Linked DNA regions of Callithrix jacchus. The protein of the gene in region 3 purifies or fractionates together with the protein of the main gene of each other region. This does not show direct contact. Links are inferred from orthologs where the notes say so. Each region holds a gene or a part of one and is shown on either strand. Other genes may lie near its edges.

Region 1 (3,680 bases), on a different chromosome or scaffold from region 3:
GAGGGTCCGAGGCGAGCCGGGGAGGGTCCCAGGGGAAGGAACCACACTCCGGGTCTCCACCGCGCCCCCGTCCCATTTAAAGAGGCGGAGGAACGCAGGGCGCCTGCCGCGCGGAGGAATATTTGCATACGGCGCGGCGCTTCTTCGGAGGCTTCTCATTGGCTGCCGTCTGCGGCGCGAAGCGCAGTTGACTTGCGCCGCGCTCGCCCAATCGCAGCCGGTCTTGCTCGCGGAGAGAGGAGCCAGGAGCCTAGGCCAATGGGAGGCGGCGTTGTTGGCGGCCACGGCGGCGCAGCTCTAAAGTGAGCGAAGCCACGGTCGCCGCCACTGCTGCAGGAGGCGCGAGGTGCGGAGACCCCGGCACTGGGCGGGTAACAGCGCGCTGGAGAGGGCGCCCGGGCCGGGGCTGGCGGGAGGGGCCGAGGGTGGGCACGGCCGGCGGCCCTCGAGGGAAGCTGCGGGGCGCCGGGCAGGGGCGGGGCCGCGTCCTGGTCTGGGCGGACGGCGGCGGCCGCGACGGGCCTGGGGTTTGGAGCCTGGAGCCCGGGCCTGGGGCGCTGGCGAGCCGCCCCTTCCAGCCTCTGGGGCGCCCCGCCCGGCCGCCCGCCGCCCTGAAGGTCAGGGCGCTTTGTTCTGCGCCGCGGGCGGCCTCCTGGGCGGCGGCCACGCGGAGGAGGCGAAGACGGCGAGAGGCGGCGGCCGCTCAAATCTCCCGCTAGCCCGGTCCGCCCCGCGTGCGGGGGCCGCGGCGGTTACACGGCAGGGCGCGCCGGAGCGTCCAGGCTTCCCGTTTTTAAGGTGGAGACGTCCAGGTCCTCTCGGTTAGATGTTTGGGAGTTTGAGCTTTTCCGTGGGGCGATGGTCGGGCTGGGCTCCGCGGGGCTGTGGCAGTAAGTTTCGTGTGACCGAGGGCACGTCTGACGGGGAAGAAAGTCCTCGGCGCCGCTTCTTAGCTGTGGGGTGCGATGGGCGGCGTGCGCTGCCCGGGGACTGGCCTCAGCCTGTTACTCACGGGACGCGCTTTACTAGGCAAGGTGGGCAGTAAGTCTTTTTACTGTTTTAAAATCGTCTTTCACGAGGGAAAAGCGAACTCTCCGGAAGAAAAATAATTGTAGGTGTTCTGGATGGGAAAGTGCCATGCTTTTCTTTCAGTTCACAGATGGTGAGTGAGGTCACATTTGACATGACCAAAGTCTTTTTTTTTTTATTTAAATTTTCCCTTTCTGAATGTTCTCCGTTCACCCCAGCGGAGGATGGCCTGGTCATGGTAAGACTTTCCACCGTCCACAGTTCTCTGATTGCGGTGCAGGAGGCAGACAAGTTTAGGGTCCAGTAAAGGGGACTCCAGCCGTGGGACCTTTAGACCCTAACGTGTGTCACATCACCTGTGTGGGTGACTCTGCGCTCCTCTGGCAGGAAGGTCCGCCATTTCATCCTGTTGTCGGAGGAGTCGTGCCCATTCGTCTGTGCTTTGGTTCACATACCCAAGTCTGCCTTCCTTTTTCCTGTAGTAGTCCCTTGCCTCAACTACCTGCATTTAGGTATACAGTATAAAAATAGACTTTTGAAAATTCTCTCACCTTAAAAATACACAAGTATGTAGATGAGGTTGTTGGACCTCAGACGTAAGTCTTTTTTAAGTTACTGCCCTCCTGCAGTAGTAAATACGCCTCTAAATGACTAATGCCTGTTCACTGCGCACTAGGCCTCCAGCCTGCTTCCGTGTATTAACTCATTTCATAATCCAGTAGTCTGTGAGATCAATACTATTGTTTTTCCGTTTAACCACTCTGGAAGCTGAGGCCCTGGGAGTTTACGTAGAATGACTTGTCCAAGCTTAGATAAAGACCCAGGCGGTTTTAACTTTACCCAGGTTTACCGCTTCTGTAAAGGGAATGAAAAAAGTTTTAAAGAGAAATTGTTTTCATCATTGTACTAAGCCTAACTGAACTCTAGCTTGTGAGGAGTTGAGCTGGTTGATCTTTACCATCTCGAAATTATATTATTCCACGGAATGCCAAATGCCTCCCATAGTAGAATTTTGAGATTCAGACTGGGATGAGCGATTGCTGTCGGAATAAATAATACGCAAATGTAGTAAAATGAAGTTCAGAGAAAGGAACGGGGTGATAGCACCGGGATGTATTCCAAAGATTAAATGAGTGACTACAGAGAGAAAAATTAGTTCTTTAATAGTACTTCACCAGTTACCTAGAGACATTTTTACTAGAATTGTAGGCCTCATGGTGTGACTTTGTGACACCTGACTGCTGTCTTAAATAGTTGTTACTACGTATACACTTGCAGTCTTTTTTTCCTGGCTGAGCAGTTACTGCTTCAGAATGTCTGCAGTTACTTGTGCCTGTGTATCATAACATCTTAACAGTTTGTAAATCTGTTGTGCAAGCCTTAAATCCTGTACTATTTTTCAAAATGAACATAATTATTGGGGAAATTGGTTGAATTCTTTGCAGTAGCAGAGAAATTTTAATCATTTTTAAGTTTTACAACCTTGGTAGACTGAATTCTGAAACGTTTACACGTGTTTTAGGGTGTCCTCAAAATGTACAGGATATTGCGTTTGCAGATGAGTCATTAGACATCAGATTCTTCTGTAGGATTTTGAGATTTTTACCCACATGAGGTAGTTCTTACTTGTATGGCGGTTAAGTACCTGGGGATAGGATGTGTTCACCCCTTTACAGTATGAATTTGAACTTGAAACTGAAATGAAAACACTTTCGTTAACCTATCAGTTTTTAGTAGCCTTTTGTTATTGATGGCATATTAATTCCTTGTGTTGGCTATTTGCAGCTAAGTGTAGAGATTGGAAGCTTTGTTCTGTTTTTCTTTTGAGCAATTGATAGTCTCTAGCATCTGGAGGAAGTGACCTCAAATATATATGTATATATAGTAGTGCTTTTCTTTCTTCCGTTTATTTGTCTGCAGTTTAAAAACTATTGTGATAAGTTTGTGTTGTACTTCCAAAAATTTTGTGAAAGGGCCTAAATTTTTCAATTTGTTTTGGAAGAAAAGTACTTTGTGGGCAAGAAGGTGATTTAAATTCCTAATGGCCTGAGAGCCATCAGCTGTGTGAAATAGGCAAATGCTGATACTGCTGGGAAGCAATGGTAGTTTATATTTGAATGATATGACAGCAGGGATGAGCTTGCTGGGAGTTTGGCCTGAGACTGCTAGCTAAGGAATACTTACTTTTTGTTTGCTTAAAGGAAAACGTGTTTTAGGCATCCAGAGTAAAAAGCTGGTTTTACTTAGTTTGATTCTTCGATAGGAAGTAGCTGATCTCTGCAGGAAACTGCTCTCATCCGGCCTCAGCTTAATTTTTGTGGGACCTCTGAGGTTCAAATTTATGCCTCCCGAAACTGCAGCTGTAAGGTTTGTCTTTGAGCATATAGTAATGGAAAGCTCTTCTCGAGGGGGAGATAGTAAATAATTTTGTGTTTGACTGCTGTGAAATTTGTAAGAAGTAGTTTGTGATGATTGGTGTAAATTTGTTTTCAACTGGCAGCCATTGGTTTCCCGTTCTGCCTCTGAGAGAGAACGGGCTGCTTTACTGTTTGCCAGCTTTAGTAACAGGCATTGCGTTTTTGTAGTGTGAAAACCGTGAAAGATCACTTGGTGAACTTTGCTTTGTATTTTGACCACTTCATAGCCTTAAA
Region 2 (2,656 bases), on a different chromosome or scaffold from region 3:
TCTGAATGAATAACTGATTATAAGGCAGTGAAGAGGGAGGTTATTTCTGAGTTCCAGTTGACATGAGGGAAAGGTCTTCAGACTTTTAAGATACTTAAGAGGAAAAATGGGCCCCAGATGCATGCGTTTCGAAGGCCCACAACTGGGAAAGTCACGTGTTCCTCGCGTCCACCATAGGCTTATGCTGCCTGACCCCTTGGACCTTTGGTCATTTCTCTTAGCTTCCCTAGCCCATTCCCCATGGGGAGCTGGGGGAATGCCCCTTCTCTCAGGCGCCCATCTCGTGCTCCCAGGGAACACCCCATCTCCTCCCTCACAGGGGAAGTACACATTGCCTCAGCTCCTCCATGCACCTTAGGATCGCTCTTGTCCTGACACTGGTGTCTTTAGATGACATGTCCTAAAAGTAAACGTGGGTAAGTTGAATGACCTGAACCTCCATTCCTCAGCTTCTGAAAAGCAGGGATAGTGCCACCCATCTTAGCAGTGTGTTGAGGGTGCAGAGCCTGCTGGCCAGGACTCACCGTGCCTAACATGTACCTTGCCATCCTTGTTCTGTGGGCTCATACTTTGAGTTCCTCAGATGAGGTAGAGGGCAGGGGAGGGGCTCCTCTTACTGTCACCTCAGTCTGACCACATTCAGGACACTTGTTATAAAGTACATAGGTGAGTGAAGAATAAGTCATGTAAGCCTTTACTTGATCAGTCTCCAGGCTGTATTTTTTTGGCCTGTTCCTCCCTTCCTCCTGGCCTCCACCCTCCCATGCCTCTCATGTGCCCCTGGAGGAATGGGCCCCCACTTCTCCCTTGCGAACCTGTGCTTCGGGGCGCTGTGTCTTCACCTCCTCCCTTTATCTCCCTTGATAACTTTCTCTCTTGCTGCTTCTCCCATGGCTCACCTCTTGCCCCGTTTGCCATTCTGCTCCCACTTTATACTCCTTCTAGAATCTTGAGGTGAGTTGTCCTGTCTCTCCAGCCCTGCTGTGCCGCTGCTCCTGCTTTGTGCTGGCCCATCAGGTTCAGGCGTCCAAATGGCGGCTCCTTGGCTCGCCCTGTCTCTGGTTTCTCCTGACGGTCGCAGGGGTCTTCAGGGTTACTCCAGTCCTCTTTCCTTCTTCCCTCACATCCTTCAGTCCTGCCTTTTCAGACCCTCCTTTCTGTCCCGGTTTTCTGCCCCCAAGCTGTGTTCCCCGAGCTCCTGCCGTGAACTGTGGCCTGTGCACTGGAAGTCCAGGTGTTGCTGCATCACTGCACGGGTAGAAAGCGGCTGCTTCCTGCTGCTTAGCTACTTCCCAAGGAGGGAACAGGCTGCTCGCTCGCCTTTACATCTCCATGCCTGGCCCGGCCTGCCCTATCTTCCCATTAACTGCCGTGGCCCTGGTGGATGTCGAGTGGGGACTTGTAGTTAGGAAGGTGGAGCCTTTGAGGGAAGGCATCCGAGGCCACCAGACTCAGAGGGAAGCTTGCCATGGATACATGTGGGGGCCAGCCCGGGCAGTGTCATCAATTAGCTCATAGCTGCGTCTCCACCATAGGGTCCCATTCAGGTTGTTGAGGCGGGCAATGGTGAGGAAGAGCCGGGCATGGGTACTGGAGAAGAAGGAGCGGCACAGGCGCCAGGGCAGGTGAGTGCCAGACTGGGAACTGGCAGGGGGGGATGGTGGGGTAGGGGTGGGGGTGGAAGCCTGTTGCCACTTGAGTTCCCTTGCATTTGAAGAGTCCAGGGCTGCTTGGATCTTTTTTTCTGAGATTGTCCTGTTCCTTTTCTGCACAGGGAAGTCAGACCCGACACCCGGTACACTGGCCGCAAGCGCAAGCCCCGCTTCTGAGTCAGCATGCGGTTCTGGGCAGGCGCTCGCCTCCGTGGGTTTCTATACTGACGTGTTCCGTTGCCAGTAGTAGTTGAGAAAAGTTCTAAAGTTCTGAAAATGTTTCCTGCAGTAAAAAAAGTTCTCTGGGCTGGGCATGGTGGCTCGTGCCTGTAATCCCAGCTCCTTGGGAGGCTGAGGCGGGAGGATCATTTGAGGCCAGGAGTTTTAGACCTGCCTGGGCAACATAGTGAGACCTCGTTTCTAGGGGCAAAAAAAAAAAAGCTCTTTGTTTAAAAACAAGAAGTAAAAATTCCTTTTGTGAAACTCTGGCATCTCCCAGCTCTGCTTCTTAACAAACTTGGGTTCCTCTGTTGGGCTAGTGCACGACTCACCAGGCAGTTACTAGGTTTAAAAAACTTCCATACATGAAAACATTCTTTGAATTTGCAAGGAACAGAGTCCTTTAATTCGGGGCTTCCATGACTATAACATCTCACACTAAGCTAAGTGGGGAAGAGGGCCTGGGTGAAATGTTAGTGGTGCCTGCTGGCCAGTCTGGTTTCCCTTGCTGTGAAGGCCATGCCAGTCCAGCAGCCCCAGCCTCACCTGTTGCAGTGAGCTGCACAGTCAGCTGCCAACTAGTCTAGTGCTTGATGTCTTGGGCTGATCTCTTGTCCCATTGCTAGTGGTTGGAAAGGGCTGGTCCTGCTCTGGGGTTGTGTGGGACCATCCGGCAGGCTGTGATAGAAGAGGTCCACTGGTTGCTTGAGCCTTTTGGGCCATGTGGGAAGAGGGGGAAGATCCTGGGCGTTGCGGTACAGAACTGGATCAGGGCTGCGGTGGCT
Region 3 (3,649 bases):
TCTGCACCCTGCACTGGCTTGAGATGTGGGCTCCTTAGCCTGGGTCCCTTAGCTAGTTGCGTCCCTTCCTCTGGTTCCCTAGTCCAGAGCTGTCCAGACCCTGCTGTCTATGGTGTGGTACAGTCTGGCGACCACATCGGTCGTACCTGCATGGTGAAGTGGTTCAAGCTGCGGCCAAGTGGGGACGACGTGGAGGTGTGTGCAGCCCCTACTGCTTTCTTCAGCTGGGCTCTGGGGTTGGGTGTAGGCCCCTAGCTCATGATGGCCTGTCCTATGCCACAGCTAATTGGAGAAGAGGAAGATGTGAGTGTTTACGACATTGCTGACCACCCTGACTTTAGGTTCCGTACAACTGACATCGTTATCCGCATCGGCAATACTGAGGACGGGGCTCCTCACAAGGAGGATGAGGTAGACCTTCAAATTCAAGTTCTAGATCGCTGCTCCCTGCCCTATGCAGCAGCTGCAGTCCCTGATGCTGCCACCAGGTGGCTCTAGGAGACAAGACCTGAAAGTCCTCTGGCTAGTTGTTACTAGGAGAGCAGCTGCCCCAAAGTCAAGCTGCTGCTCAGCCCTAGCAGCTGCAGAAGGACTTGTTTCCCTGACTCTCTGCCGGTGTCAGGCTTCTTGAGCCGCTGCTGGTTACGTTTACCAGAGGAGCTAAGTTCCTTGTCACAAGCTGGGTGGGCATGATGTCAGTCACTGCAGAGCACAGGAGGGCTGGGGAGCTGGGGCTGGAGCTGGGCTCCCTGACTCTGTCCCCTTTGCCCAGCAGCCATCAGTAGGCCAGGTGGCCCGTGTGGATGTCAGCAGCAAGGTGGAGGTGGTGTGGGCTGACAACTCAAAGACCATCATCCTGCCCCAGGTGAGGCTCTGGCAAGTCCCCCTGCTGGGCTTGTGACTATGGCAGCTGGGGCTGGGGCCACAGTCAGGTAGCCTAAAGGTGGGCTCTCGGGTCTTCCTGGTGAGATCTCAGTGAAAACCTGAGGAGAAAGGCAGTCATTCCACACAGCCCTGGTTGCGGGGTTGGGGTCAGCCCACAGGTGGCCCACCAGCCTCACTTCTCCCATCCATCACTGGGTGCATGTAGATTTTCACAAACCTCCAGGATTTTCCTGGATTATCACTATGCTAAGAAGAATGTAAGTTCCTTCCTAAAAGGAGATGGAGACTTTCCTATCACCCTTTCTAGAAAGCTCTAACAGCAAAGGAGAGAAAGGAGAGAGCTGGCCCCATTCTAGCCCCAGCTGCTGGGTCCTGAGCTGAAGGGCCACACGGGCTCTCCTTCCCTCGCCTCCCTGGCTGGAGCTGCATGGCCCAACTCTCCTCTCCTGGCTCCTGCATAGGGGGTGGGGATGGGGCAGAGCAGGGGCAGGAATGGCTTGCCCCATCACCTTAATGGTCATTCCAGGGAAGGCAGCAGGATGTGCTGGCCCTTCCGCACATACTCTCCTAACGTATGTTCCCAGCTCCCAGTGCAGCCCCACATGGGCCTCCCTGCCTGCATCGTTAGCTGACCCTGAGCTTTTCAGGTGTGGGGCTGGGCCTGCCAAGGTTGCCTGCCTTCTTGGGCAGATGCTGACCAAGTGTACAGAGTGGGAGGGGAGGCTGAAACAGACCACTGGCTGGGGCTTTGGGTCCAGCTTGGGGGTGGGACAGGTGGAGGGCCTCTCCCAGAGACCTAGGGACTGCAAAGTCCAGAGCACAGGGTGGGGAAAGAGTGGAATGAGGTTGCCAAGGCCTCATGAGCCCAGTCCCCATCAGCTGTGCAGATCAGGGATCCCCAGAGCTCTTCCTTTGTGGTAGGGAGGTAACTTCCTGTCTGCATTACCCTGGCACTTCCCTTCTGCCCCCAGCACTTGTACAACATCGAATCTGAGATTGAGGAGTCAGACTATGATTCGGTAGAAGGCAGCACCAGTGGGGCATCCTCGGATGAGTGGGAAGATGACAGTGACAGCTGGGAGACGGACAATGGGCTGGTAGAGGATGAGCACCCCAAGATAGAGGAGCCCCCCATCCCACCCACGGAGCAGCCTGTGGCCCCTGAGGAGGACAAGGGAGTAGTGATCAGTGAAGAGGCAGCCACAGCCGCTGTCCAGGGGGCTGTGGCCATGGCTACCCCCATGGCTGGGCTGATGGAGAAGGCTGGCAAGGACGGGCCTCCCAAGAGCTTCCGGGAGTTGAAAGAGGCCATCAAGATCCTGGAGAGCCTCAAGAACATGACCGTGGAGCAGCTGCTGACGGGCTCGCCCACCTCTCCCACTGTGGAGCCTGAGAAGCCAACTCGGGAGAAGAAGTTTCTGGATGACATAAAGAAGCTACAGGAAAACCTCAAGAAAACCCTGGACAATGTGGCCATTGCAGAGGAGGAGAAAATGGAGGCAGTGCCCGACGTAGAGCGCAAGGAGGACAAGCCCGAGGGGCAGTCACCTGTGAAGGCCGAGTGGCCCAGTGAGACCCCGGTGCTCTGTCAGCAGTGTGGTGGCAAGCCTGGCGTCACCTTCACCAGCGCCAAGGGCGAGGTCTTCTCCGTGCTGGAGTTTGCACCCTGTGAGTCAGCCTTTGCCCAGTCTTCACCTTCCCCTGCCTTCTCGGGGCTCCTGTTTGTGTCACCAGATCTGGGTGCGGTGGTTAGGTGGTTAGTCCTCACTGGCCCCCAACTTCTGGCCCAGGGCAAACAGTTTCCCTGTATGGTTACAGTGCTGAGGCCAGCGAAGGCGAGTGGGAAGTCTGTGGGTGCGCTCACCTATCCAGCCAGGTTTGCAGATGGAGAGCTCCAGGGCCTCTCCATGAGTGACTGACTGCTCTCTTTCCTCTTCTAGCAAATCATTCTTTTAAGAAAATTGAGTTCCAGCCTCCAGAAGCTAAGAAGTTCTTCAGCACAGTTCGGAAGGAGATGGCACTGCTAGCTACCTCACTGCCTGAGGGCATCATGGTCAAGACTTTTGAAGATAGAATGGCAAGTAGGCTTGGCATGGGCAGGTGCAGATGTGCTGTGTGGGTGCCCAGTGCCCAAGAGGCCACCAGCCTTGGGTCCTCAAAGCTCCAGGGCTGACTGGCACCTGTGAGGACACCCACCCACCCACCTTTTACAGGGGCGGTCACAGGCACAGCCAGGTGAGGGCTGGCGGAGAGCCATGTGTCCAGGCCAGATGGTTTTCTTTTCTCCCTTCTTTAAAAAATGAGTTTGAAATTAATTATATTATGAGTACTCCTCAAGCCTGCTCTTCTTTTTGGAAAAATTAGAACATTACAGATCCTTTGAGTGGAAATAGAAGAGCTAAAGTTGCCTTTGACCGGCTCTGACTTCCCTTTTTTCCTGAATCATAGGCCTCTTCCCACACCCAGAGGACTGCTGGAAGTTTAGTGGGTCTCCTTCCAAATGGATGACCACGGATTACCTTTTTTATGTATTTTTACATTTTTTATACATTGAAAAAGTATTTCGACATGTTCATGTATCACCATGAGTACAGAGTGTTTTGTATGATTTGTTTACACCGAGTATTTGCCTTTTGTTGTTGTTGTTGTTGGAGATGGAGTCTCACTCTGTCGCCACGCTGGAGTGCAGTGGCCTGATCTCAACTCACTACAGCCTTTGCCTCCCGGGTTCAAGTGATTCTCCTGCCTCAGCCTCCCAAGTGGC

What was found.
Region 1: the proteins of UBE2O (region 3) and NAP1L4 purify together in Homo sapiens (affinity purification with mass spectrometry; 3 studies listed by BioGRID, with this or other methods). This does not show direct contact. The link is inferred for Callithrix jacchus from reciprocal best matches to the Homo sapiens genes UBE2O and NAP1L4.
Region 2: the proteins of UBE2O (region 3) and BUD23 purify together in Homo sapiens (affinity purification with mass spectrometry; 5 studies listed by BioGRID and IntAct, counting the BioPlex papers as one, with this or other methods). This does not show direct contact. The link is inferred for Callithrix jacchus from reciprocal best matches to the Homo sapiens genes UBE2O and BUD23.

Annotation. Positions count from the first base shown.
Region 1 is NC_133511.1:128,856,608-128,860,287, forward strand, and holds the start of NAP1L4 (nucleosome assembly protein 1-like 4), read left to right. Parts: upstream 1-750; 5' UTR 751-858; coding exon 859-890; intron 891-3,680. UniProt on the Homo sapiens protein: Acts as a histone chaperone in nucleosome assembly.
Region 2 is NC_133503.1:9,994,247-9,996,902, reverse strand, and holds the end of BUD23 (18S rRNA (guanine-N(7))-methyltransferase), read left to right. Parts: intron 1-1,535; coding exon 1,536-1,625; intron 1,626-1,774; coding exon 1,775-1,829; 3' UTR 1,830-2,135; downstream 2,136-2,656.
Region 3 is NC_133506.1:132,289,147-132,292,795, reverse strand, and holds part of UBE2O ((E3-independent) E2 ubiquitin-conjugating enzyme), read left to right. Parts: intron 1-82; coding exon 83-195; intron 196-282; coding exon 283-411; intron 412-772; coding exon 773-865; intron 866-1,856; coding exon 1,857-2,553; intron 2,554-2,825; coding exon 2,826-2,962; intron 2,963-3,649. UniProt on the Homo sapiens protein: E2/E3 hybrid ubiquitin-protein ligase that displays both E2 and E3 ligase activities and mediates monoubiquitination of target proteins. Negatively regulates TRAF6-mediated NF-kappa-B activation independently of its E2 activity.